Struthio camelus: one gene and its partner. Each later gene encodes a partner of the first gene's protein in a complex. Links are inferred from orthologs where the notes say so. Each region holds a gene or a part of one and is shown in the gene's direction. Other genes may lie near its edges.

Evidence for each region. The genes of interacting proteins can lie anywhere in the genome.
Region 2: PHLDB2 (region 1) and PPFIBP1 share a complex: the UniProt entries of both Homo sapiens proteins name them as parts of the cortical microtubule stabilization complex. The link is inferred for Struthio camelus from reciprocal best matches to the Homo sapiens genes PHLDB2 and PPFIBP1.

Annotation. Positions count from the first base shown.
Region 1 is NC_090942.1:102,251,614-102,258,520, forward strand, and holds the start of PHLDB2 (pleckstrin homology-like domain family B member 2), read left to right. Parts: upstream 1-3,907; 5' UTR 3,908-4,114; intron 4,115-4,759; exon of another isoform or gene 4,760-5,291; intron 5,292-6,907. UniProt on the Homo sapiens protein: Seems to be involved in the assembly of the postsynaptic apparatus. May play a role in acetyl-choline receptor (AChR) aggregation in the postsynaptic membrane.
Region 2 is NC_090942.1:77,322,052-77,329,869, forward strand, and holds the start of PPFIBP1 (liprin-beta-1), read left to right. Parts: upstream 1-4,746; 5' UTR 4,747-4,876; intron 4,877-5,130; exon of another isoform or gene 5,131-5,823; intron 5,824-6,830; exon of another isoform or gene 6,831-6,970; intron 6,971-7,818. UniProt on the Homo sapiens protein: May regulate the disassembly of focal adhesions. Did not bind receptor-like tyrosine phosphatases type 2A.

The DNA of each region.
Region 1 (6,907 bases):
CTTGGACAGCAGGAATCTGAAGGGAGACCAAGTTGTAGGGCTTTTGCTGTGATGGTGAAGATCCCTCTGGAGATGATGCTGGCAAGGCAGGTTTCAGGGGTGGTGGTGTCAAGGACAGATATCAGACTGGGAGTGCTTGGAGAGAAAAAGCCATTTGCAAAAAGGCACCTAGTAAATTCTGCTGGATGCTCCTTGGAGGAGAGTGAAAAAACTGGGAAAATGGTATCATTGCTCCTGACACCTGCAGTTTTCAGCTGTGTTGCTACTGTATTATTAAGTTGGAGTTTAGAAATTACCGGGCCTATAAAGCTGAAGAAGCATTTTAGAGCAGCGTTTTTGGGGCATCTGCCAAGATACTTAGCCATTGTTCTGATCTAGCTCAACTTTTGAAAGTATTTTCTTTGTGTACCTGTCTCAGGTGTCAGAGTTCCTTGTTATAATAGACCAGTTTTTAGAATGTTATGGCTAAAGATAGAAGATACCCATTTTTATTTGAAAATTAGGTTACAAATGGAAGTCAGTTGAAAAGTGACTCCAGATTTCTTTGAATATACAATATTTAATATAGAGTCCATATGTATTTTTAGGAAGACTTTCATCCAGATGTGAGCATATTGTTAGCCATCCCTAATTCAAGTTTTCTGTCAGATGGCTGCTTTCTGGGACAAGAACTTCAGACAAATTTTTAGTGGTTGTAAGAGCATAGAGAAACTGTCTAATGTTGGGGAAGAATGGAGCTAACCCAAAAGTTCATTCAGAATCTAAATTGGGTCAAAATGTATGTGTTTAAGCAGTGAAAAAGATATATTTTTTTTTTGTGGGTGTCTGATGAAAATGAAGCTCTTTTTCCACTATCTGGCAGCCAGAGCATACACTGAAGAAATAGTGGAAACCTGCATGGTGCTAATGCTTGCAAGAGTCCCAGTTCAGTTTGCTGACACAAGACACTGTAGAAGGTCGCAATGTTTGCACTGGCCTCCCTTTGCTAATTACTAATAGTTGCTTTCAGCTTTTTAAAAGAAGGCAGTAATTAGAACTAGAGAAAACTACCCTTAGAATATTTTGTTAGAGGGTGCAAATCTTGTTGAACTGAAATATTTGCAAATTCAAATGGGCTTTATTTGAGTTAAGATTGGAAAAATTGTTCCGTAGTAGTGAAACACTAACTCTGTGGAAAAGAGCTTTGATTACATTTTGATTTTTTTTCTCCCTCTAATGACTTCTTTGTTGTGTGATACAATTAGCATTAAGGTCAAATTGAAGCAAAAAAAACTTTTCCGTCAAGATCCCATTGTGCATATCTTCACAGTTTTTGATGCAAGAAAACTTACAGATTTCAAAACTCTCTGAAATTCCTTGTGAATTCTTCTAAGTCTGAGCTTCTGCTTCTCTGACAGTGACGCTAGTGCTGGAGAGCTGATATCATTAGGGGGTATGAGTGTAGTAGTGAAGGGAAGGAGTCAGTATCATTCAGAGAACCTGCATGTAACCCGTACACAGAGTTCACTAAGTTTTGCTTTCTGACTCAACAGACAGAGCCTGAGCACATGCTGAAGAGCAAATAAATTTCACATGTACATTGGGCTAATTGCAGGTAAGTGTAGTGATGTACTTAGTCATACCTTCCAAATATAATCCTATTAGCAGTCTGATTTAGACTAATTAAATCAATCTGTTTTACACAGGAAATCAGTCCCACTGATTCAGTATGTCATTCTAACTGAACAAGAGTGTGCATGTGTGTGTAAACACATTTATTTCTCTAAATCTTCATTTTAGTAAATTGAGTTTACCTTTTAAAGGCAAGGATCAAATAGAAATTGTAGGGACTGAAATGGGAATGTCAGCTTCAGAACGATTTGAATCTGTTCATTATATATGGATTTTTGAGTACTTATTGTCATGTTTGATATAGTGATTCTCTTACCCTTTGTCATAGACCTGTGATAAATTTCTGTTGTTTGTATCTCATTGAACTGCAATATATTCTTAATTCTAAAACTGTTTGTATTGATCAGTACATTCTGTAGTAAAATAATATTGTTGGATTTTGCTCAATGTTAAATATATTTTGCAGTTGGATTTTTTTGTGCTATTTATGCCTTGGGAGGAGGAGAGGGAGCCAAGTATAGAGGAGCTACACGTTCTCGACTTGTATTTTGTGCAATTTCTCTTCTTTCTTTTGGCACTTTGTGCTTTACGCGTCTGTCTAATTCAATTCAGTTTTTTTGAAACCAGAGTGCTTCGTTCTAACTGCAGATAAATTTGACATTGTTTCTTTCTGTTTCACTCCTGTGTATCTTTATTCTTGAGTTTTTTAAATCCTGAAAATAAATGTACCACTTGAGTTAATCATCTTACTATGTGTTTTGTGCTGTTGATTATTTTGATACACAAAGATTAAGTTGCGAGTCAATTACACTGAGTTCAGTTATTTTTTTTTATGTGGTGCAGAATGGTGTCATTAAGAGAATCTATAAACCATTTTAGGAGGTGCCATACCTTGCAGTGTTATTTTCCCTAGGGAGTCAGACCTTGGGCAACATGCTTATTTTTTAGAATGTGCTGGGAACTTCTTTGTGGGAGTAGTAGTGTAGAGCGGTTAGGGAGCTGTATACTTGCACTCGCATACATATGCAGTTGTATCTCTGCCTGAAAAAAACAGGGGTAAAAGCATGCTAATGCCTGGACCAATTATATCTTCAAAGGCAAGCAGGTATTTGTGTAGCCTCTACTGCTGTAATACAGTCCATAATAACACTCCATTTGGAAATGAAATGATGATAGCCCCCAAAGCTTGGGTTAATGTTGCGTGCTGCTTTACCCCATTGAGATCAGCCAGCCCCTTCTTCGGGTTACTTTCAGCTTTCAACTGTTTTGAGAATGTGGGTGTATCTGAGTGCACGGGGCAAAGGAGGGGGAATGGATAACCCTGGTTCCCTTGCTTGTTCAGACAGTTGACTGGCAGCCAAAAGGTGCTGTGTTTGTGGAGCTAAAAGTCCTAAAGGTAGAGATGGGAGTTCATATTTCTGTCCCTACCTACAGTCTTTGGCTTGTAACCACTTACCTGAAGGACGGTCTGACTAGATTAACAGTCAACTAGATAGCCAACTGATTTAATGACCTGTCTGAAATGCATTGTAGGAGAGGAGTATGCCACTAGTTTTTGTGGAATTCGTATCTGTGCAACATTATGACTAATAGCATAAGGTGCCAGTATGTAAAAATGTTAAATAGCTTGCAGTAGCCATATTACTTTTTTTCACTCTGTGTACTGTTTCCCCCAGGTCAAGGATCGCATACCTTGGAGGGGATTTTGGGTGCAAGGGTGAGTGGGCTTTCATCATATTGCTTTACCTGGAAGGTTTGCTGGATTTCGGTGTCCATGCTTCAGTCTGCTATTCAGGAATGCTCCACATGTGCACCCACACACATGCACGTTTTACAAAGCATATAATGAGACTGCAAAAGCTAGATGCTTGTTCTGCAACAAATTTATGCATGGCCTTTGCAGAGTTTCACTTTTGCCTTAAACCTGTGGCTAGCTGTTTAAACAGAATCATTCCTGAAATAGATGTGGCGTAATATTTGCCTCTTAGGAGATACTGCAGCATTTACATGCAGATTTTTAGCTGTGAAGGATAAGCTCTTTCATGTTTGGAGCAAAGCCAGCTTGAAACTTGGCGTATGTTGCCAGCTGCTCTAATTCCACACGTTGCCGGAAGGTGAGCAAAATGCTTGGCAGGCTCTGGGAGTTAAGTAACGCCTATTGTTGTTGACTCTTCTGATCACTTTTAGGTGACAAAGCAGTTATTTGCATAAGACTAAAAAAAAGTGTTTGACCAAAAAGCCCAGCTCTAATTTAAATGCAGTACCTGGGGTTGGTTTGTCAAGGTCTTAGGAGAGCAAATACAGGAAAAACAAACCAAGTGACTTTGAACTGGTATTTGTTACTAAGTTCAGCCACATTTCTCAGGGATCCAGGATTTAATGTTTGTTTCTGCTCTATGCAGTTGCTAGCGGTGTGAGCACCTGAAGTTGAGAGGAAGGGGAATCTATTTTCTGGGGAAGAAAATGAGTGACCAGGGTAATTAACAGGTAACTCCCAGTACAGGTAAATTGTTAAGATAATAATGCTTAAAATCAACTTGCTCTGAATTTAGAGAGACTTACTTTAATTTAAAAGCAATGTTATATTTCGCTTAGAGAATGGTTGTCTCTTTCTGTATTCTGTCTTAGATATCTGTATCTACAGTAGAAAGATAGTTTGGGGATAAACTGCAGAATGATGCAGGATCTGCTTGAGAGAAAATATACTGTTAATGAATGGCTATATAGTTTTATAGCTGTAGATTGAAGAGAGTTCAACATCGATGAGTAGGTACTCTTTCTTTCAGCAGCCAGTGAGAACAAAGACTGTCTTGTGTGGGAGAGTTAACGTCATCGTAGTCTCCTGAGTTAGGAGTTTAAAAAAAAAAAAAAATCATTATAATTATGTACTGGCTGAAATTCCATGTGCTTGCGAATTAATTAGTATTAATGGAGGAGTAAATTCTTCTTTTAAACTTTGCTTTGCGATTTTGCTTTTTGTAGTTAAAAACAAACCGCTTGTAAAATATCATTGCTTATGCCCAACTTCTAACTTAAAAGCAAAATTAGTACTGAGGCTTTTGTGCTGCCATATCTGTAGGGAGGAGCCTCTTTGTGGAGGAAAGGAAGTGAAGAGTGGTACCTTAGGCACTGGTGTACCCAGGTGGCTAGTCAGACTGTAGTTGCGTAAAGCGGAAATGATATGATGCAATAACATCATAGACTGGCACTTTATAATTGAGGCAAACACCTTCAGGAAGAAACTTTGAAAGAGATCTGGTGACTCAGGAGATGTTTATGGAATGAGTTAGTCTTCATGCAAAGACTTGCAAGTTTCACTGAAATGACTGAAAAATTTGAGAGATGCTTACAAAGCACAGATGGTATCTCTTGCTTGGATTTGAAAGAGTAATTTTTGCATTTGATCAGACTCCAACAGGCTTAGTTGTAGAAGTCTTTAGTATTTCATCTGTTAACGATCACAAGGAGATTTCGATATCATTTGTGGAAACGTTCTTTGAGTTGTTCAGCAAAATGGCAGAAAAACAGAGCAGCCCAAGCCCTGTCCTCCTGACCCACCCCACTTTGAACTGCAGACTGCACTTAGACACTTCACATCTTTTTATAACTCTAAGGTCAGCTCCTCTTGGGTCAGAATTTGGGAATCCAACGTATAGAGGAAATGAGAACTGAGTGTTGTGGTGAGTGGGTTTTTTGTTTTTGTTGCTTCCCCGTGTTGCTTCTAGCTAACATGTTTTATGATTGCCCTTAAGAAACAGATTGCCTGAAGGGATGTTGCTCTCTGCATCAAAGTCACCTTCTGGCAGATTGGGGTAGAGAAAAACATACGTTGTTAAAGGATGATGTAAATGAGGATTAAAGATGTAAAAATATTTTTCTTGCATTTTCTGGTACTGAGTGCTTGTTTCTTTGCTCGTTGTAACTTAAAGGTTTGAGATTCAGTATTCCTAGGTTTTCTTCCAGCTTGAAAGAAACCTAAAATCATGAGCAGAAGAAAAAAACATAAGGCACCCTTAGAAAGTTTGGAGCAGTGGAAAGGAAGGAGGAAGTGAATACTGAGAAGTTTGTAGTGGAGATGGTGCTAGAACTTTGAAGGGAAAAATAAAACTCTTTGTTTCTTTTTCTTGAGAGAGAGAACAAATTATCATGTGAAGTTCACTCTTTGAATCGTATCTAGTACAAAGTTCATCTGATAAGTTAAATGCAGTTCCACGTTTACAAGAGTGCTGAATTTGATTTGATCTTCTCCTTTCCTTTTTAAAGACTACTGGCAGCAAATAAAGTACATGCTGGGCATTTCTCCAGAGAAAAATAACAATCACTGGTATTTTGGCCTAAATACTACAAATGAATTTTCAAAAGCCAAAAATGTTTCTCTAATTTTGCTTTCCTTAGAGGAATCTTGATTTGAACTTTGAAGCTTTGCAAACAGTCTGCTCATCCTGTAAGGTAATGGTTATTCCTCAGAAATAATGTGCTTTGATTTTTTGCCAAAACAAAAACCCCCAAAAGTTCATATCACAAAGATAATCTGGCGTTCTGTAAATCTGTCTTGAAAACTACCCTGAGTAACAGGATCGTCTGAGGATGAATGACGCAAGATGTCTCACCACGTTGCCGCCTTTGTTCTATACCACAAACGTATTTATAGAGTGATAAACTGATATTTCTCAAGACGTTTTTTTCCTCCCTTGTGCACTGGATATGTTCAATGTGCAGCCATACGTGGTGCTGACAATAACACTTGGAACAAGACAAACCTTTCTAGGCTTTAAGTTTCAAGATGAATCCAAAGCTCAGTGCAGGCTTGCTGAAATGATGTTTCCATAGAGGAAGAACAAGGCTGCTGCAGCAATAGCTTACACTAGCAAGAGTTGATGTAATTTAGAGGATCTAAGTAACTCCTACAGAGGTAATCATTTGTTTTCACAGTACTACATCTCAAAAGAGATTTGGTGGTGTCATCTTAATACCACCTGGATTTTATGCACACATAGGGATTGTGTTCTCAGATGGTTATTTGACTGTCGTCTCCCGGAAAGAGTTACCGGAAACTAAACTGTTTAAAAGTACTTGTTTGTGTCAGTAAGCTAGATAATTGCAATCTTTCCTTCTTGCATTTAATGCCAAGAACGAGGACTTTTCAGTAGTTTAATTTCCCTTCTGTATTTAGTTCCTTCCTGCTATCTTGGGGCAAGGTTGTTCTGTTTCCAAGGCTGAAGGATAATGCAGGCAGTGTTAACTGTGCACCAGGGAACCAGCTTCTCAAGGTCATGGTTATATTGAAATTCCATTT
Region 2 (7,818 bases), about 25 Mb from region 1:
GTTTCTGACTAGCTCTTAATCTAGTAGTCTTTACCAAGTATTCCAGAAAGCAACTACTGAACATAAGTAGAATTATCTTCTGATACAGACTGAATGCTCTGAAAACTGCATTTGCATGAACCTAATGAATATTGCATCCCTGTTAAGGTACACTTATAGCTAAATGTGTGAGTGGGAGACCTCAAGGGAAAGAAAAATAATGTTTTGTAGCTCTGCAGAAATTGAAGAATGCAGAACTTACTTTTAAACTGCAATCTCCCCTTTCCTCTTTTTAATGATAGCAATCATCCATAGTAAAGGGAAGACAAAGCCCATCTGAAATACCAAATCTTTCCAACAGTTACACCATTATTACCAAACGCGTATGTATTCCTCTATTTATGCTGTACTTCCTATTCATGCCAGGAGGTTGCCTATTACACATTTTATGTAAATAGTGCTGCTGCTGCTTCTCCTTAGTAGTAGTATTTTGTGTGAGTCACACAGCTGCACACTGAAACTTCTCTGAGGTTCATCTCCGTGTTCAGGCTGGAGAAGTTCCTGCAGCTAATTACTTTTTCAACTGCAAAGTTTTATGGAAAGCTTTCTTGCCCACTTGAAAAGAACTTGAGCTTACTTTTTCCTGGCGACACTTCAGTTCAGGGACTAGCTGCACAAGGTTCCCAGATAAGACAAAATACTCCAGACTAGCCATCTCAGTAGGCTGCAGTTGGCCACACTGAGCAACATGCCCAAGACAGCAGAGATGATGCAAGTGTGAGATGGCATCTTTTCTCCAGCACTCTCTGGAGGCTGAGTTTTATCCAGCCCTCAGGAAGACTCTTCACAGACCGATTTCACTATTAACCCCTCCACCTCAGATTCTCAAGTGTAAAAGTGATGTGCTCTGCCTCCTCATGCTGCAATCTCGCCAAATACTACAGCTGAAGACTTTTGGGCCTGCTGGGTAATCTAGCCTCAGAGGATAAGGGGCGCTTAAAACAATGCCGGACACAGAAGTAGATGGGTCACTTGTTAAATAGCATTCTTCCTTCTGAGAGACTTAAACAAGAAACTCCAGGGCGCATCTCCCTGCCTGAAGCATTGCTGCACTGGACTGATCTTTCTGGCCAGCACAGCAGAATCAACACAACATCCCTTTGGAGAGTCCAAGAGTCGATTGAGTGTGCTAGGCTTTTCTTACCATGTTTGTAAAAGCTTAGCTGGGAGAAGCAGGGATAGAATAGCTATGGGCAGAAGTATGACAGTTCTGGGGGTATACTTTGGGGGCATTTTGTGCTTAGGCTGCTATGGAGTGAGTTGATGCTTTTGGCACTGAATTGAATCTCCTCTCCTCCTCTCCTTTTTCGGAAGGGATCGGAAGGGAATTTGAATATGAGGAGGAAGGCTAAATTCTTTCTTTGACAGCTAGAAACTGTTTGTGTGGTGCTTTCTCCCAGGACTGAACACTATGGCATAGATAAGCTTGTGGTTTTGGCTAAAACAACTAGCTCTGTAATAGTTAAGTATTTAATAGTCAGGATACTTAGGTAGCTGAAAGCCGGGACAGCTTTGACAGCATAGTTACAATAGCTGACATTGTAACTAGCAAACATTTCCAAGGTAGGAGGTTTTTGTTTATACCAGTAAAATGGAGCTTTTGCTGAGAGAGCTAATTCCAGCTTCCTCAAGCGAAATAAGCTATCCTGACAAAAGCACAGTTTTCTCTGCTTATACCTACAGCTGCACAAGGTGCTTTTGCTGGCACAGCTCTGCCATCAAAGGATCTTATCTCATTACAGCTCTGGCTGACACAACTGTGCCAGGAGACTTGGTAGCCAGGAGACTGACCTGAACATGCTCTGGCCCAGCTCCAGGGTTCACACCCCACTGGGAATAAAGAGGGCAACTTGCAGAATCCACCGTTCATCTAACCTGAAAGGAAAGCATGTGCACAGCCTGGGTGTGAAATCATTTCCCATTTGGAACAAGATCTCTCAGCTCCTTCAGGTGTTGTGTTTTGGGGAGTGGTTTTGGTCTGAATGAAAACTTCTGGGGCTTGATGAGGTGCTGAAATCAAAAGAAGGAAACTGGCTGCATTGTACTTGGCTCGTTACCATATTTGAAAGGCCCTGCCTGTGAGCAAGCACCGATACTGAGGTGTGGGGCTCACGGCCACTGTGCTGCTAAAGCCAGATGAATTCCAGATGAGAGCAAAATGGAAGTCTTGATCACTAGAAGTCATTAACACCCCCAGTTAATCCAAGTGAGTCACTTAAATTGTGTAAAGTGAGACAGTAATGCCCATATGAGTGTTGTAAGGATAACTGCATTAAAAACTATGAAGTACGTTTATCCTTCAGGAATGATGCTCAGGCAAAAACACCAAACAGATGCCCTGCAGATTTAATAAGTGTTATTAATTGTTGTTTTGCAACAGGCTTAATCTGGTCTCAGAGCCTGCTGCCACTGGAAGGCATGGTCTTGCTTGGGCCCCTGCCCCAGCTGCACGCTCCAAGCACCTTCTTTGTGCCAGTGATCTTGGGTGTCTTGCTCATCCCCCTGAACTCCACAAAAGAAAACAGTCATTTTTTCACTTATTCAAAACAACCTGACACTGTCAGGAACCTACAGACCACTAAAGACTGATGCTAAGGAGGGGCTGGCAACATAAAGCAGGAGATGGAGGAAAGACAGGAGCACCCAACTGGGTGGTAGGCAAAGTTAGTCTAGGATGGCAAAACCGTGCCCCTGGTTGTGCAATGCCTTCAATGTGTAAAAGATTCAAAAATTGCCTGAAGAAGATAATGGAAGATCATGTATGCTATACCTTCAAAATGCCTCTGACAGCTCTTGAACTTTTAGGTTTAACGCCAATGTATTGATTTGTAACTACAGAGACAATAAGTGTCACTATTGCAAAGTGAGGGAAGATGTCTTTCTTTTCACGTCAAGCAGTGAAAAAGGTTGGAAAACACTCTTATTTGTCATAATCTCTTGCAGCCTTCACAGGAGGGACTAGTGAGATGTTTGCATTCTCGGATACTGCATTTTCAGAAAGGTAGAGAACATCAACCTTTTCTTACAAACCAGCCTGGAGCAAAAAAGGCCAAGCTATTTTGGGAGATGAGAGATAAGCAAGCCAGAAAGCCTTATCAGAGATTTGTTTTAACTTGCAAAGGTATTTTCTTTGAAGAAAGAATTCAAATAGTTGTTTGAAATGTTCTGTCAGCTCAGATTTGTTTCCAGACAAAACTTGCTCATACACTGTCCTGACTAAGCCCTTTTGGACTAGATTCTTTAATAAGACTCTTTGACTTTCTGGATAAAAAAGTAATTAAAATGTGGGGAAAAAAAGAAAAGAAAAAAGAAAGAAAGGGAAAAAAAGATAAATCAACAGAAATGAATAGCTGATTCAGAAAGCAAAGACTGATCAATATTGGGGCTCAACAGGGATCAGTATTTGTCCTAAGCACTTGTTACTGTACGAATCCAACTTCAGTCATTTCCAAGCAGGATGAGGAGTGAGGAGCTTGGATCTGGGAGGCTTGTGCTTCAGCCAGCACTAACGCTTTTTCATTAGCGGAGAACTTGCACAGCTGCACAGCAAAGGGTTAAAATTGGCTGGAGATTTAATGAAGATTTGAGAAAACAGGCAGAAAGGCCAACTGTAGAAACCGCCCCTAGAGTGTCTCCTCCCCTCCAAGACTGTAGTTAGACACCTAAATTTTGAAATGGAAGAACTAGACATTAGAGGGATCAAAGAAACCCAAGAACGATTGCATTATGGTTGCATTTTTTCCATTTCTTGTAGTCTAGAACGTTATACTCCACTTTAATCTGAGATATACTACAACTGTATGGCTAACACTGCAGACTTGCCTGAAAAGCGCTTAAACAGCAAGTGGTACGTTCCAATTTCTGTCGAAAATTTGACACGTTTCCTTTTAGCATGTTCTTGAATGGAACCTTTCACTCCTTTAGAAATCAAGATTCAAAACTAAGTACCAGTAAAACTTCTTTCCCCACACTTAAAAAAAAACCATGAAATGAAGCGTTTTGTCCAACCCAACCTTTGGAGGAGCCGACAGGTGGAAGAAGGCTGCCCTGTGAGAATAAAACCCGACACAAAATTAAAAGCAGTTAGCTGGCTAGGCGCAGCCGCCCGGCCGGACCCCCCGGCGCCTGTCAGTTAACGCGGCTCCCCTCCTGAACAGGAGCTTGGTGGCGACCGTTGGCAGCGACCGTTGGCCGGCCTTCGCTGACCACGTCACCACGCCAGAGGGAAACGTGAAGGAAAAGGCTCATTTTAGGGGTCAGAGGTGAGGCAACTGATGAACGCGGGACGTCGCCGGCCGCCGCCCGTTCATTTAAGCGGTCGGCAACGTGCGTAAAGAAGGTGGGGATCTTCTCGAGGCTCCGACGCTGCCCCTTCCCCGCGTCACCTAACGCCGACGCCACCCGGCCGGGCCTCCCCCATGCCGGCGCGGGCGGCGGGAAGAGCCGCGCAGGCGCAAACCCTGCGGCACCACGAGGACCCGCGACGGCCGAAGCCCGCCGCGGGAGGCGCCTCCCTCCCTCCCCGGGGTGGGGGGGGGGTGGGGGCGAGGAGCCGGTGCGGGAGGGCAGGGCCGCGGCCCCGCGGAGTGACAGCCGCCGGCTCCAATCAGAGCTGCCGCCCGGCGCTGCCTCCCCCCGCCCCGTCGGGGAGGCGCGGCCCCGGGGCGGGCAGTGACGCCAGCGGGCGCCCGGCGCGGCGCGGCCCCGCTGGGTCCCGGCCGCCGTGTGCGAGGGCGCGGGCGGGGCCGGGCCGGGCCGGGGCGGGCGGTGGCGGCCGCCCGGAGCCCATAGAGGAGGCGGAGGCGCCGCGGCGGAGCCCGCGGGGCGTTAGGCGCAGGTAAGGGGCGCTGCGGGGAGGGCAGGGGGGTCGGGCCCCGGCGAACAAAACCAAACTGCGGTAACTTTGGGTGGCGGCGGGCCGGGCCGAGCCGTGCCCCGACGGCTCCCGCCGCGCCGCCCCCGCGGGCGCTGCTGCGGGGCGGGCCCGGCGGTGGGGAGGGGGTGGCCGGGATGGCGGGGGCGCCCGCGCTTGGGTGCCCGGGGGCGCGCGGGGAAGCTTCAGCCGTGGTTCCTTTTCCGGGAAGGTGAGGGCAGAATCGCCGCCTGGCCGTGTAGTGGGCTTGAAGTTGAGAGCTGGAGAAGAAAGGCTGAGTTTTCCCGAGCTGCTTTCGCTGCATCCTCCCTGGAAGGAGAAAGCAGGGCCGGGTCGCAGGGAGGCTCTGTAGTTAGCGTGTGACTTTCGGGAAACTTATTTGCGCGCCTGGAGCTGGCGTAGCGTTTTGCAGAATTTTGGGGAGAGGCGAGCAAGCTCCAGCTGAGTGTCTTCAAGCTTCAGTAGGACGTTTCAGCTACAAGCGCTGTAAAACTGAAGTTGCGAGTTGTTCCTTGGAACTAGCAGATGTGTTTTGCTTTAAGGCCTGGGTTTTGCACATCCTGTAATTATTTCTTTTAGGTCTGTAATGTTTCTAAAAACTGAAATAGCTGTGTGAACTCACACCCTGGCTGAGGTGCAGCTGTAGCAGTAAAAAGGTGCTTTATACCTATGTAGTTATTTCCGTGTGGGAAAAGAAACAAGCTGTGTTTTTGAATGCTTTACAGTAGTGTAACAGCATGCATGTGCTCTCCTGTGGAAGTGAAGCACTGCTGATGCTGTGCAAAAAGCACAGATGAAGTGTTTAGGGCTCGAGCTCAGCTGTGTCTGAAGCATTCAGAGAGAGACTTTGCTGGTTCTTTTTATTTCAGCCCAAGGAAACACACTATCAACAGCAAAACATGTAAGCATTGGTACGTATTGAAATGGCTGCACGGTTGAGCAATACAAGTGTCTGAATTCCAAAAACTAAACAACAAAAATGGGTCACTCAAAGTGAGAATGTTCTTCCTGCTTGCATGATCAAACATCTGACAGTAAGATGTTCTGGTGTGCTCAAATCCAGATGTATTGCTTCTATTAAAGGTAACAGTCGTAGCTTAAGGATTTATGTTTGTGAAGGACAAAAATGGCTTATGGTTATAATAAAAAACATGCATACGGATATCAGTAAACCCCATCTGCTCAGTGAGGCAGTATGGCGGATAGGTTAGAGAGGCATCCCAGAAACCAGGAAAACTGAAATCTGTATAAACTCTTGATTCTAAATGCAACCAACGTTTTTGTCTCTTCAGCTCTTAATTTCCTACTTGCAAGAAGTAGCGTCCTGTGGTTTAGCTTCAATCCCATTCCAGGAGAATTTGACAATAGGATTTAGTATAATTTCCTAGAAAGCTGTATCACATAGATTGGTTCCTAGAGGCAGAAGGAGTTCTTCTGTTTGCCAGTGAGACTGACTGTCAGCGGGTGCTGCGTTGCTCATAATTTAAGATTGGTGTCCCTGTGCCTGGAGTATGAAGTTGATGTTTCTGTCCTCTCTGATGGCAGCAGAAGCTCCATATGTTTGCCCAGCGGTAGAGCTTGGTCCTTAGCAGCTGATTCTCTATCTTAAGCAGCATTGCTCCAGTTTTGAGGCATACTCTCTTTGAACGAGGTGCTGTTAAGTGTTCAACAGCTGCTGACCCTCTTAAATGCAATGCTGGCGAGAGCCTGAGTCAAAAAGCATGGGTCTGGATTCAAGCATTTCCTCAGCTTTGGTGAGTTTTGACCTGGGTTTTGTGCTGTTTGCTGCCTCAGATCTGGGTTTAGTAGTTCTAGTGAAAAATATTTAAGCTGGTCTGTCTTTTCTGTGTATGTTTACAGCAGCTCTGTGCTCCTGAAATATGGATGAGTAACATTTCTGCTTGTCCCTGAAATGCAGGGTGGAGCACCTTGAAGTCAGGGATGTCACATGAGGCAGAAGACTGTGTTGAATGTGATCTTTTTTTCCACTTGGATCCAGATTGTGGGCAGAAGAGCATGGCCAAGTAGCTGGTCTGCTCTGTGCTGGAGTAGGTAAAGGTAAGAGGGTCTGACAAGAATCCTCTATTTTATTACTGAACCATCAAGTTTCTGAGTGGCTCTCTGGTAGAAGACCCTAGGTCCAAACTGTTCTGTTTTCTTGCTTTCTCTTACAATAAAAATCCAGTTCTGCAGGTGATGAGAAGAAGAGATACAGTGGGAAATGCCTTCTTTTTTGTGGCTGCTTAGAGTCAGGTTGTCCTTGGATGGCATTGTCTATTGCTACTGTTAGAGAACAGTGGGCTCGATGGACCCTCGGTCTGAGCCTGTAGGACGTTTCTTACACTCTTGCTTTTAAGTGCTTGTTTTACTTCTCCTGGGAGCTTCTGCAGCTGCTGTTTCTGGGGCTTTTAACTCCTGTGCAGTGCTGTGCTAGAGGCTCTTCTGTGGAGACAGCTCGTTGCCTCGTTGGGCAGCTTGCCCCTGCTGTACAGTAGTAGCTTCTGAGAAGAGACACCTAACTCGATGCAAAACTGACGCACTCTGTGCGTGGCCTTGCGTCTGCTGTTTCCAGCTGCTGCTAGGGCCGAGTGAGCCAAGGTGTCGGACCGTTTCTGCTCTGGGTTGCACTGCTAAGGCAGTGTAAGACACGTGGCAGGAAGCAACAGTGGGTCCTGATGAAAAGGTCTGTGGAGAGGAATGGGGAGTATTACTTAGCCCACGTCTAAGTAACGATAGGTGTTAACGTTCCTGAACTTGTGGCCATTCCCAGGAGACTGAGGTTCCCATGTGGTGCTGAAAGCCTTTCTGGTCCCATCACTCGCTTGTGATACAGACTATGAAGTCTATTGTCTGAAGTCAAGTCTGAATGGTTGGATGGGGCAGGTCTGAGAACATGAAACACAGTG